2 linked regions of the Macaca fascicularis genome follow. Each later gene encodes a partner of the first gene's protein in a complex. Links are inferred from orthologs where the notes say so. Each region holds a gene or a part of one and is shown in the gene's direction. Other genes may lie near its edges.

The links. Proteins that work in one complex are often made in the same cells at the same time.
Region 2: DRC5 (region 1) and DRC12 share a complex: the UniProt entries of both Homo sapiens proteins name them as parts of the nexin-dynein regulatory complex. The link is inferred for Macaca fascicularis from reciprocal best matches to the Homo sapiens genes DRC5 and DRC12.

The regions. Positions count from the first base shown.
Region 1 is NC_088378.1:127,220,531-127,225,660, forward strand, and holds the start of DRC5 (dynein regulatory complex subunit 5), read left to right. Parts: upstream 1-1,696; 5' UTR 1,697-1,811; exon of another isoform or gene 1,812-2,328; intron 2,329-3,186; exon of another isoform or gene 3,187-3,292; intron 3,293-5,130. UniProt on the Homo sapiens protein: Component of the nexin-dynein regulatory complex (N-DRC) a key regulator of ciliary/flagellar motility which maintains the alignment and integrity of the distal axoneme and regulates microtubule sliding in motile axonemes.
Region 2 is NC_088388.1:118,065,678-118,070,845, reverse strand, and holds the start of DRC12 (dynein regulatory complex protein 12), read left to right. Parts: upstream 1-1,608; 5' UTR 1,609-1,651; intron 1,652-1,949; 5' UTR 1,950-1,961; coding exon 1,962-2,022; intron 2,023-2,448; coding exon 2,449-2,523; intron 2,524-3,592; coding exon 3,593-3,712; intron 3,713-4,563; coding exon 4,564-4,656; intron 4,657-5,168. UniProt on the Homo sapiens protein: Component of the nexin-dynein regulatory complex (N-DRC), a key regulator of ciliary/flagellar motility which maintains the alignment and integrity of the distal axoneme and regulates microtubule sliding in motile axonemes.

The DNA.
Region 1 (5,130 bases):
AAGACCCTGTCTACAAAAAAAAAAAAAAAGATCTTCCTGCCTCAGCCTCCCAAGTAGCTGAGACTACCCACACTTTGGTCCCAGCTATTTGGGAGGCTGAGGTGGGAAAATCACTTTAGCCCAAGAATTCAAGGCCACAGTGAGCTATAATCGCACCACTGCACTCCAGGCAACAGAGTGAGGCCCTGTCTTAGAAGGGAGAAAGTGTCAGATGGTGATGAGGTCTGGGGGGAAAAATAGATAATGGGGATTAGGAGTGTGGATGGTGGTATTCCCTCACCAAGAGGTGGCATGTGAGCAGGCAGCTGGGAGGTGAAGGTGTGAGCCATGTGGAAATCTGAGGGAAAAGCATTCCAGGCTGAGGGAACAGCCAATGCAGATGCTGTGAGGTGGCCAGTGCCACTGAGCAGTGAGCTGCTATAGGGGCAGGTGATGAGGTTGGAGAGCGGGGTCAGACAAACTACACTTCTTAAAACAAGTTGTACAGCACCTGCCTCAAGCCTGAGCTAAAGCTGAAAATTGACACCTCAAAGCAGGTGGAAGCCAAGAGATGGAGGAAAGCCCTCCTTCCCTACTAGAATGAGTCCACCTCAGACAGCCAGATGTTGGACCTCTGCCTCTGTTCCTAGATCTCTGTTGCTAGATGAAGGAAAGGGCCCCAGGGGACCCATGTTCAAATCAAGGGCTCCCTGGGTACCAAGTTCTGTGTAGTAAAAATTCTAGCAGCGTGGGCCTGCCTGACATCATTTTCTGCACAGTTTCTCATTCTAATTAAGGCATAGATTTGCTGGTGAGGCACTGGTGAGGGCTTGAACAGACCCAATCCCTGGTGCCTGGCCCCTCGCTGCTTGCAAAGCTTTGCCTCAGCATCCTGGCCACTGGAGCAGTAGCCACTGTTCAGCAGTGCTCACCACAGGCCCTGGTCCAAGTTCCTCCGCGGGCGCCAAGATGAGTTGTGGCACCCCGATTTATTGATGAGTTAACAGAGCTTCGAGATGTACATCCAGGGTAACCAACTAGTAGTCCTCGGCAGAGCCGAAATCAAAGCTACCCTTTGAAACCTCCACCACCCTGGCTGCCTCTCCCTTCCTGAAGGCCACTTTCTTTTTTTATTAGCCGTCCCTCTGAAGTCTGTCCCTCTCACCCTCCAGGAGATCAGGGGCCCCAACCACATCTTGTGGCGCCAGGGCTGGAAGGGTGTTTGGCACAGGACATGGGCTGTGTGAAAGAGCACTCTGTTGGCCTGGAACCTTCCTGCGTCTGGTGCCAGATTTTCAGCCGGGGAAAAGGTGGACGGTGCCCTCCCGCAGGGCCTAAGGTCAACAGGAGACCTCAGGGGAGTTCAGTGACTTACACAGGTGCCCTGGAGAAGGTCCGTCCACCCTCATCTTCCACAGACGCTTTTCCTGGACCAGCTCCCTATCCATGGCCACACAAAAGCTAGCAATAGAGCACAAGGACTCCAGACCAGCAGCCTGCCCGACCTCCACCTCCCGCAGAAAGCCCACCCGTTCCTAGACACGTCCCACGGAAGCACAGGGCATAGCTCAAGACCACGGTCCCACTACCCCCAAAGCGGCCGCTTCCACGGAACCGTCCGAAGGGCTGGCCTCGCCACCCTGCGCGCGAGTGAGCCGCTTGCCGGCGCGCAGCTGCAGCCAAGGAAGCAGCAGCGCCCCCTCCTCTGAACCGCGGCGCACTGGTCCTCCCGGCCCGGCCCGCTCCTAGCAACACGGGGCGTCCCCAACGACAATGACCGGCGCCGGCGCGCGGGACTCTGTGTGAGGCGAGCGCCGAGGCTCCCGAAGCGGGTGAGGCGACCTCGGGGGAGTGGGGACACACAGCCCCGGTCTCCCTTATCGGGGCCCGCTCAGGTCAGCTGGGCCCGGGAGCCCCTCTAGCGTCCTCTGCCCACACCGGCCAGAAGCCCACAGGCGGCCATTGCCTGGGTTCCGTTTTCTGTGGCGGGGAAGCGCCGGTCCGTACCCACAGGAGACCCCACGCCCTCCATGCGAGGACGCCCCGCGCCTCCTCCCCACCACAGTCACTGTCTGCAGACCGTCTGGCCCAGGGCTGGGTATCCGAGTGAGGCGAGCGGAGGAACTATGGGAAGAAGAGGGGGAAAATGGGGCATCCGTAGGGCGTGGAGGAGAGCGGTCCCAAGCCCTGGGGCCCCAGCCTTCTGCGAAAGGCCGTCCCTGTTCCCAGCACCCGAGGGCTGTAATCCCTCCCGCGTGTCCAGAAGCTTGCTTCCGCATCTCCCTCCCTCCCACTGCACTGCCGGTTTTCCTGGGTTACCAAGGAGAAACCAGCGCCTCTACACCCCAGGTAGGATGGGGGAGGGACCCCGTGGCCTTTGCAGCTGAGCTTCCTTGCTAGGGTGTCTGAGCTGAAGGTAAGGAGGGGTGGGAGCAGAACCGCTGGAGTCCCTTTTGAGACAACAGACCTGAGTGGTCAGGAGTTGGGAGGAGGCCAGCCCGGGGGCTGTGGTAAGTGAACTGGCGGTTTCACCCAGCCCAAGTCCAAGTACGCGGGCCGAGGCCCGGTTGGAGAAAGTTTTTTGCCCTTCCATAAATGGAATTCCCAACTTGGGAGTGACTTACCCCAAAGTAAGACATGGTGGGCATGAAAGAAATGGAGGTGGGTGTAGACAAAAGCCGAGAGTCCTGAGGACAGACGAGGGCTCTCCTGAGGGGATCTGGGATGGGAGTGGCTAAGAAGGCAGTCAGAGCAGTGGGTGCAGAGCCAGCTCCTGGGGAAGTGTCCCAGGCACAGAGGTGCTGTCTGCCCAAAGAGAACTGGGTGTCTCCACTTCTCGGCTAAGAGGAAGGGAGGTAAGGACAGTTGAGGACCAGGACTGTGATGCACAAGAAGGTGAGAATGCTCCCCTACAGCATCTTCCTCGTGTTCCCATTAGGGCAGGTGGAAGGAGCTCCTGCCCAGAATGGTTAGATTTAGCTGGGGACCTGAGGAAGGATAGAGAAGACCGGAGACTTCCTGTGGAGGGAATGTGCCAGGGGCAGGAGAGCACTACTCTGCAGCACTCCGTTGGGCTCCTCTGGCCCTCCAAAGGATGCAGGCAGTGGTCCAGCTTGCAGAAGGCTTCTGTGCCCAGCAGTGAACTGGAAGAGGGAGCCTGGACTATTTAGGTCAGCACCAAGGGGATAACCCTGGGCTCCGTGTTGGTGAACAAGAGAGCTCATGAGCTGGAGAAAGTGGGAGACTCACTGGAAAAGTGCTGTGAATGACTGAGTTGGGAGCAATTTATAAGCAACCCCAGCATCTCATGGAAGTAAGAGCATTAGACAGACACAAACTAAAACCTCAGCTTCTCCACTTACTAGCTAGTGACATTTAGTAAGTTACTTAAGCTTTCTAAGTTTCAGTTTCTTCATTTGTGAAACAGGGACAATAGTGTTAAATAATAATCCTCAATAATTAATTTCAGAATTTAATGAAATTATGTAAGTAAGCCATCTAGCATCTTCACTATATCTAACACACATCTTGAGTGCTGGCTCTGGGCCCAGCACTATATGAAATGTCTCACACACATTAACACCTTAATCTTCTGGGTAATCCTATGAAATAGGTACTATTAAGTACTGTCCTCACATTATAGATGAAGAAACTGAGGCAAGCGGGGACCTGCCCAAGGTTGCACAGATAGTGGGGGGCACTGTGGAGATTTGACTTGAGGCAGCAGCTCAACTCCTGAGTACTTAGCCAGCTGCTGTCCTGCCTCCTGCTATGTACATGCCATTGAAGGCCTAGAGCTCTCAATAAATCATAGCTATATATAGCCAAGGGTATCGTTCCCAGAACACCTGTCCACCAGATTCAAGCCATCAGAAATGAGGACAACTCTGGCCAAACTGGAGCATCTTGTCACTTTCTATTACACGTGCTTGGGCATGGAAAGAGCAGTCCTTCACACCCGGTCCTTTGAGTTAATGGCCTGGTATGGATGTTGTTCCCTGTGTGTGATTTCAGGACCCTGGACCCTGGTCCTGAGGATGCACAGTAGGGGCCCAGGGGAGGAGGATTGTCCCTTCCCTAGGGACTGTGGTACCAGGTTAGAGACACAGCCATGTGAAGCCAAACTAGCTGGTAAAGGCAGGCCCCAGAGAAGTGAAAGTCCACTGCATGTGTCCCCACTTTCCCCCTCTGAGAGCACAGCACATCCTTGGATGGGGACACCAGGTGGTGGCACAAGACATACCCACTCCTGGTGGCCCTGACCTCTCTGGAATGTCAGGATTCCTGCCCTGCCCATGTTCAAGACTGGCGTCTTGAACATGCTCCTAGTCTTCAAACTCTGGGATTCTCTGACTGACCCAACAGGTTCCCCAGGGAAGGAAAGCTCCAGAGAGGAAGGTGACCCTTCAGCCACCTCCAGGACTGCCCTGATGAAAATATTAAATTTTGTTTCATTTAGGGGGAAAATGCATTTACCCTAACAGGGATGAAAACTGTACATTAGGGCCCTGAAATTCCCATAGTAAAGTACCAAAGGCCTGGGCGCGCTCTCAGCCCAGGGAGGCCCTCCCCACTTTCCAAGGAGCAAGAATATTCTTTCTTCTTTCCTAGTGGAGGGCAGGAACAGCCAGGGGAAGGGGACATACTGAGTGACTGTGGAGGGGTAGTGTATTGTGACTAGAGGAGGAGACCTGCCCTCAGATGCTGGCCCCGGCTCTCATAGGTGTTTTAGGGCCAGTCATTTCCTGTTTCCTTGTTTCTTCATCTGTAAAATAGGGATAAGGAAGCCCATCCTAGCTCCATTATAGGGTGGTTGAAGAGTCACATGAGACTTTTTTTCTTTTTTAGAGATGGCATCTCGCTATGTTGGCCAGGTTGGTCTTGAATTCTTGGCCCCAAGCAATCCTCCTGCCTTGGCCTCCCAAAGTGCTAGGATTACAGGTGTGAGCCACCACACCCAGCCTTTTTTTTTTTTTTTTTTCCTGAGAGGATAGTTCTGAAAGGACCTTGAAAGGACCTTGCAACTGTTAAGTGCTGGACAGTTGTAAGGTGCTGATACTGTCCCAGCCCTGGAGACATGGAATGTGAGACTAGAGGCTCAATGTAGTCAGGAGAGGAAGAGGCCACAGGAGTGAATCAGGTCCTGTGAGT
Region 2 (5,168 bases), on another chromosome or scaffold:
AAACAAACAAACAAAAAACCTAAAGAAACGGTCTGCAGGTCCCCTAATCCAAAAGGAGAAAAGCCCTGAAGTGTCTGCTGTTTTCACTCTAACCAGTATGGTGCCCAGAGATCCAAGTGGCAGATAGATGGCAAGCCTCAGGATAGCACAGAGCTGCAGGGAGAGTGAAGGCTGCCTGACAAGGGAGGGCCACCTGTCATACTCTCTCCCCCACATTAATTATTCCAGCCACTCCTGGCTCCAGCAGGACACTAAGAAGTATCCCCAAAGGGAGTCACCCCCAGTATTGCCCAGTAAATAATTTAAAAGCAAAAATGTGGGAAACTCAGGAGAAGGTCAAACAAGTCCACTAGAGGGAGCCCCAACCAACTCTATGCTGCAGGGAGCCTCACAAAGCAATGTCTCAACACCTGTCTGAAAATCAACCACACAAGGGAATGGGGAAATGTAGCAATAGATTAAGTAACTAGGAGAGAAGATAGCCATGTAAACACCTAGCTAAAACACAGGCTTTTCAAGAGCTACAAAATCAAACATTTAAAGATCAGGAAACTGATGCTGAGCAAAGTCAAATGGCTTGCCTCAGTTTACATATCCACAGTTGGGACTCAAACTCAAATGTCTTGTCTCTAACCTGAGCACTTTCCTGCACACTTGCATCCCTCTAGGTCAGTACCCTAGAGTCCATGGGTCTGCTGTTCCTTTGTGTCTCATTTCTCTGAAGTGGGAAACGCCCTCGACTACCTATTCCTGTACTTATTACCCTCATTCCACAGTGTACTGAAGAGGATCTTCAGTGGTTTGGGGTTTTTGTTTGTTTGTTTGTTTGTTTGTTTGAGACAGGGTCTCCCTCTGTCATCCAGGCTGGAGTGCAGTGGTGCAATCATAGCTCACTGCTGCCTCAACCTCCCAGGCTCAAGTGGTTCTCCTGCTTCAGCCTCCCGAGTAGCTGAGACTAACAGGTGTGCACCACCCTGCCAGGCTAATTTTTTAATTTTTTGTAGAAATGAGGTCTCACTGTGTTGTCCAGGCTGGTCTTGAACTCCTGGCCTCAAGTAATCCTCCTGCCTCAGCTTCTGAAAATGTTGGGATTATAGGCATGAGCCACCGCCCCCAGCTTAGATCTTCAGTTTTAAACCTACTAATGTCATTTTGCTGATGGGACCTCGGGATGTCAATTGTCCAACATGGCTACTGTCAGTCCTTTTCCTCTGTATCAGCACAACATATTATCTCAGATGTGTACATCTGAATTTGGAAGTCTCCAAATTGCAGGCCATGTCTACGTGGCAATGAATCATAACCAATCGGCCTCCAAAGCCCTTTCTTTTCAAACTATACTTAGGGTTTTGGGATAAGGAAAGAACTGACCCTTTGAGACCTTGATATTTTAAGCTTTGTGAGCTGATTTAGCCCATTCCACCTTCCTACCAACTCCATGTTTCCCAGTTGCCTGGACAACATACAGCCTCCCGAAACCCAACCTTCCAGCCCTCAGTCCTGCCCTCAAGAGAAATTTGCCACCAAGGATTGGCTCCCAGGACCCAGGCCCCGCCTCAGGCTCCTCGCTAGTTGGGCCTTCTCTCTGCCACTCCCCACGGGTGGGTCACTCCACAGGGAGCCCCAACACTGGCAGGAGAGGATCCTACAGGTAGGAAGAGGGGGTTGAGGATGATGGGAAGAGGGAGGGGAGCAGGTACAGGGATTTATCTAAAAGAGAGTTGTGAGGAGTGACTTCCGTACAGTCAGCCTGGTTGAGAGAAAAAACTTCACCCTCCCCGTTGACCCCAACCCTGCCTGAGGTTCCAAAGAGACTGTGAACTGACTTTTCTGAAGAGTATGAGATGCAAATTTGGAGTAGAACCAGGAGACTCCCCTGAGACTCCTGATTCAGTCAGGAAAGCATCCCTGTGTCCAGACCTAAACATAAGGTCCCCTCCTTCTCCCAGGACAGCAAGGAGATGCCACTTAAAAACAAAGAAAAAGGGAAGAAATCTGGGGCGCAGAAGAAAAAGAACTGGGGTGAGTCATGGTGGGTGGAGGTGCCCCCTGCTTCTCCATGTTCTGGCATGAAGACCACGCAGAGCTCCTCCAGAGAGAATTCAGCCTTCTACATGACAGGATGGAACTCTCTTGACCTTCCTCTTTCGTGTCCTTGAAGTCAGATGCAGGGAGCTGAGGAAGTGGGGAAATGGTCACTCACGCTGTCCTTTAAGCACCATCTAGCTTTGTGCCTTCCTAATATATTTGTCATGTGTATTTTGCATATCTGTTATGTGCTGGTTGGTAAGGACACAGTGCTGACTTCAGTAGACTCTGCCACCATGGATCCCTCATTTAGTGGTCCTCAGGTCTCCTGTGGCAAAAGTGCAGGGTGTGGGGCGAGGACGCAAGGAGAGTGAGGAATGCTGAGATCACGAAGAGCTGAGGCTCTGCCACTTGCCACAGCAGGTGCAGATGTGGAGGCTGAGTCCAGGCACAGGCTGGTGGTGCTGGAGAAGGAGCTGCTCCGAGACCACTTGGGTAAGGAGGGTAGAAGTTGGCATGGGGGTGGGCAACAGGGCAAGTGAAATGGGGCATTTCTGTATCCTGGGGGATTGGAGAGTTGGAGATACAGTGGGGGGCTAAGTTGAACCCTAACCATCCCCTAGTGGAAAAAGACAATGAGAGAGGGGTGGGCAGTGAGAGTTGATAAAGGAAGCTTTTTTTTTTTTTAGACAGAATCTTGCTCTATTGCCCAGGCTGGACTGCAGTGGTGTGATCATAGCTCACTGTAATCTCAAACTCCTGGACCCCAACAATCTTCCCACCTCAGCTTCACGAGTAGCTGGTGCACACCACCCTACCTAGCTACTTTATTTATTTATTTATTTATTTTTCTTTTTTAAAATTTATTTTATTTTATTATTTCATTTTATTTTATTTTACTATCTTTTTTTTTAAGACAGAGTCCTGTGCTCTGTTGCCCAGGCTGGAGTGCAGTGGCGCGATCTTGGCTCACTGCAACCTCTGCCTCCCAGGCTCAAGTGATTCCCCTGCCTCGGCCTCCCAAGTAGCTGGGATTACAGGCACACAGCCACCACACCCGGCTAATTTTTGTATTCTTATTAGAGACAGGTTTTCACCATGTTGGCCAAGCTGGTCTCGAACTCTTGACCTCATGATCCTCCCACCTTGGCCTCCCAAAGTGCTGGGATTACAGGCATGAGCCACTGCGCCTGGCCCTATTTATTTTTCTTATAGAGACAAGGTCTCACTCTGTTGCCCAGGCAGGTCTCAAACTCCTGGCCTCAAGCAATTCTCCCACCTAAGCCCCCCAAAATATTGGGATTACAGGCATGAGCCACCATGCCGGGCTATCCGGAAAGCTATTTTGTATAGGCAGAACATGGAGAGAGTCTTTACTTCTTAATAATGAGGAGCCTGTGAGACTCTAGGGATAAAAAACAAAAACAACAAAACCCAGAGAGAGAATAAGAGGCTGGACGCCCCGCCACCAGATTTCTAGAGACGGGCAAAATTCATCAAGTTCATGGGGGCTGATTTAGCGGGCCCCAGCCAGTCCTGACAGTGGCTCTGGGACTGCTCACAGCTGTACGGAGGGATGAAGCCCGTCGAGCCAAGGCTTCCGAAGACCAGCTGAAGCAGAGGCTGCAAAGGGTGGAGGCTGAGCTGGAAGGGGCCCGAAGTGAAGGGAAGGCCATATATGCAGGTGTGTGGTCTGTTGAGCAGGTGGGCAGGAGACAGGGGCCTGGAGGAAGACAACCAGCAGGGTCAGATGATGCAAGGAAGGGAAACAAGGAGGGCTTCCAACTGCCAGGCCTGGTCTTGGTCTTCCCCGAACAGTACAAATCAGGCAGGATCCTGCAGGAATCAAAGGCAGGTAGGTTCCTGGGATCCCAGGCAGGGGCCTGCCAGGATGCCTGGTGCCATGTGCTTGATGCTGTGTAGGATACACATGCAGTCATAGCCATCACCTCAACCATCCTATGGGAGGGGAGAAGGACTAGCATCCCCATCCAAAGCTGGACGGTGGGGGAGGTGGGTTGGGCTTCCTTTCCCTTCCTCAGGTTTTCATGGTCTCTAGCTTCTCAGAATCACAAAAAGAACCAAGAAGACCATGGGCCGGGAGTGGTGGCTCACACCTGTAATCCCAGCACTTTGGGAGGCCGAGGCGGGCGGATCACGAGGTCAGGAGATCGAGACCATCCTGGCTAACATGGTGAAACTCCGTCTCTACTAAAAATGCAAAAAATTAGCCGGGTGTGGTGGCAGGTGCCTGTAGTCCCAGCTACTCGGGAGACTGAGGCAGGAGAAGGGGGTGAACCCGGGAGGCGGAGCTTGCAGTGAGCCAAGATCGCACCACTGCACTCCAGCCTGGGCGACAGAGCGAGACCCCGTCTCAAAAAAAAAAAAAAGAAAAAGAAAAAGAAGAACCAAGAAGGCCTTTGTGCTCCTGTTCCACTAGACCAAGTAGAGTCTTCCCCACCCACAACTTCATTTCCTTTCTCCATCGCTCCATCTCCGACCTGGGTCCCTGGCGGCCTACTGCCCCCACCCCAGAGATGAGTCGCCAGTGCCATGCCCTGCAGGAGGATATGCAATCCCGCAGCAAGCAGCTGGAGGAAGAAGTCAAGGGCCTTCGGGGGCAGCTAGGTAGGTTTCCCCATCCCCCAAGCCCCTTGTCTCCAAGAGTTGCAGCAAGGGCCAGCATGAAGGGGCAGACTTCAAAGTCTCTGCTCCAGAAAGCTGCCACCTGGGCTCTGGGATCACTTTCCCCACTTTCACTGACCCTCCACCACCGAGGACTGGAGCAGAGGGTTCGGGATGCCAAGAATCTCTGTTGTAAGTAAAGAAGAGGTGCCAGGCGCAGTGGCTCAGGCCTGTAATCCCAGCACTATGGGAGGCCAAGGCGGGCGGATCGCCTGAGGTCAGGAGTTCGAGAACAGCCTGGCCAAATGGTGAAACCCTGTCTCTACTAAAAATATAAAAATTAGCCGGATGTGGTGGCGCACACCTGTAATCCCAGCTACTCGGGAGGCTGAGGCAGGAGAATTGCTTGAATCCGGGAGGCAGAGGTTGCAGTGAGCCGAGATCGCGCCATTGCACTCCAGCCTGGGCGACAGAGCAACTCTGTCTCAAAAAAATAAATAAAAATAAAAAAGAAG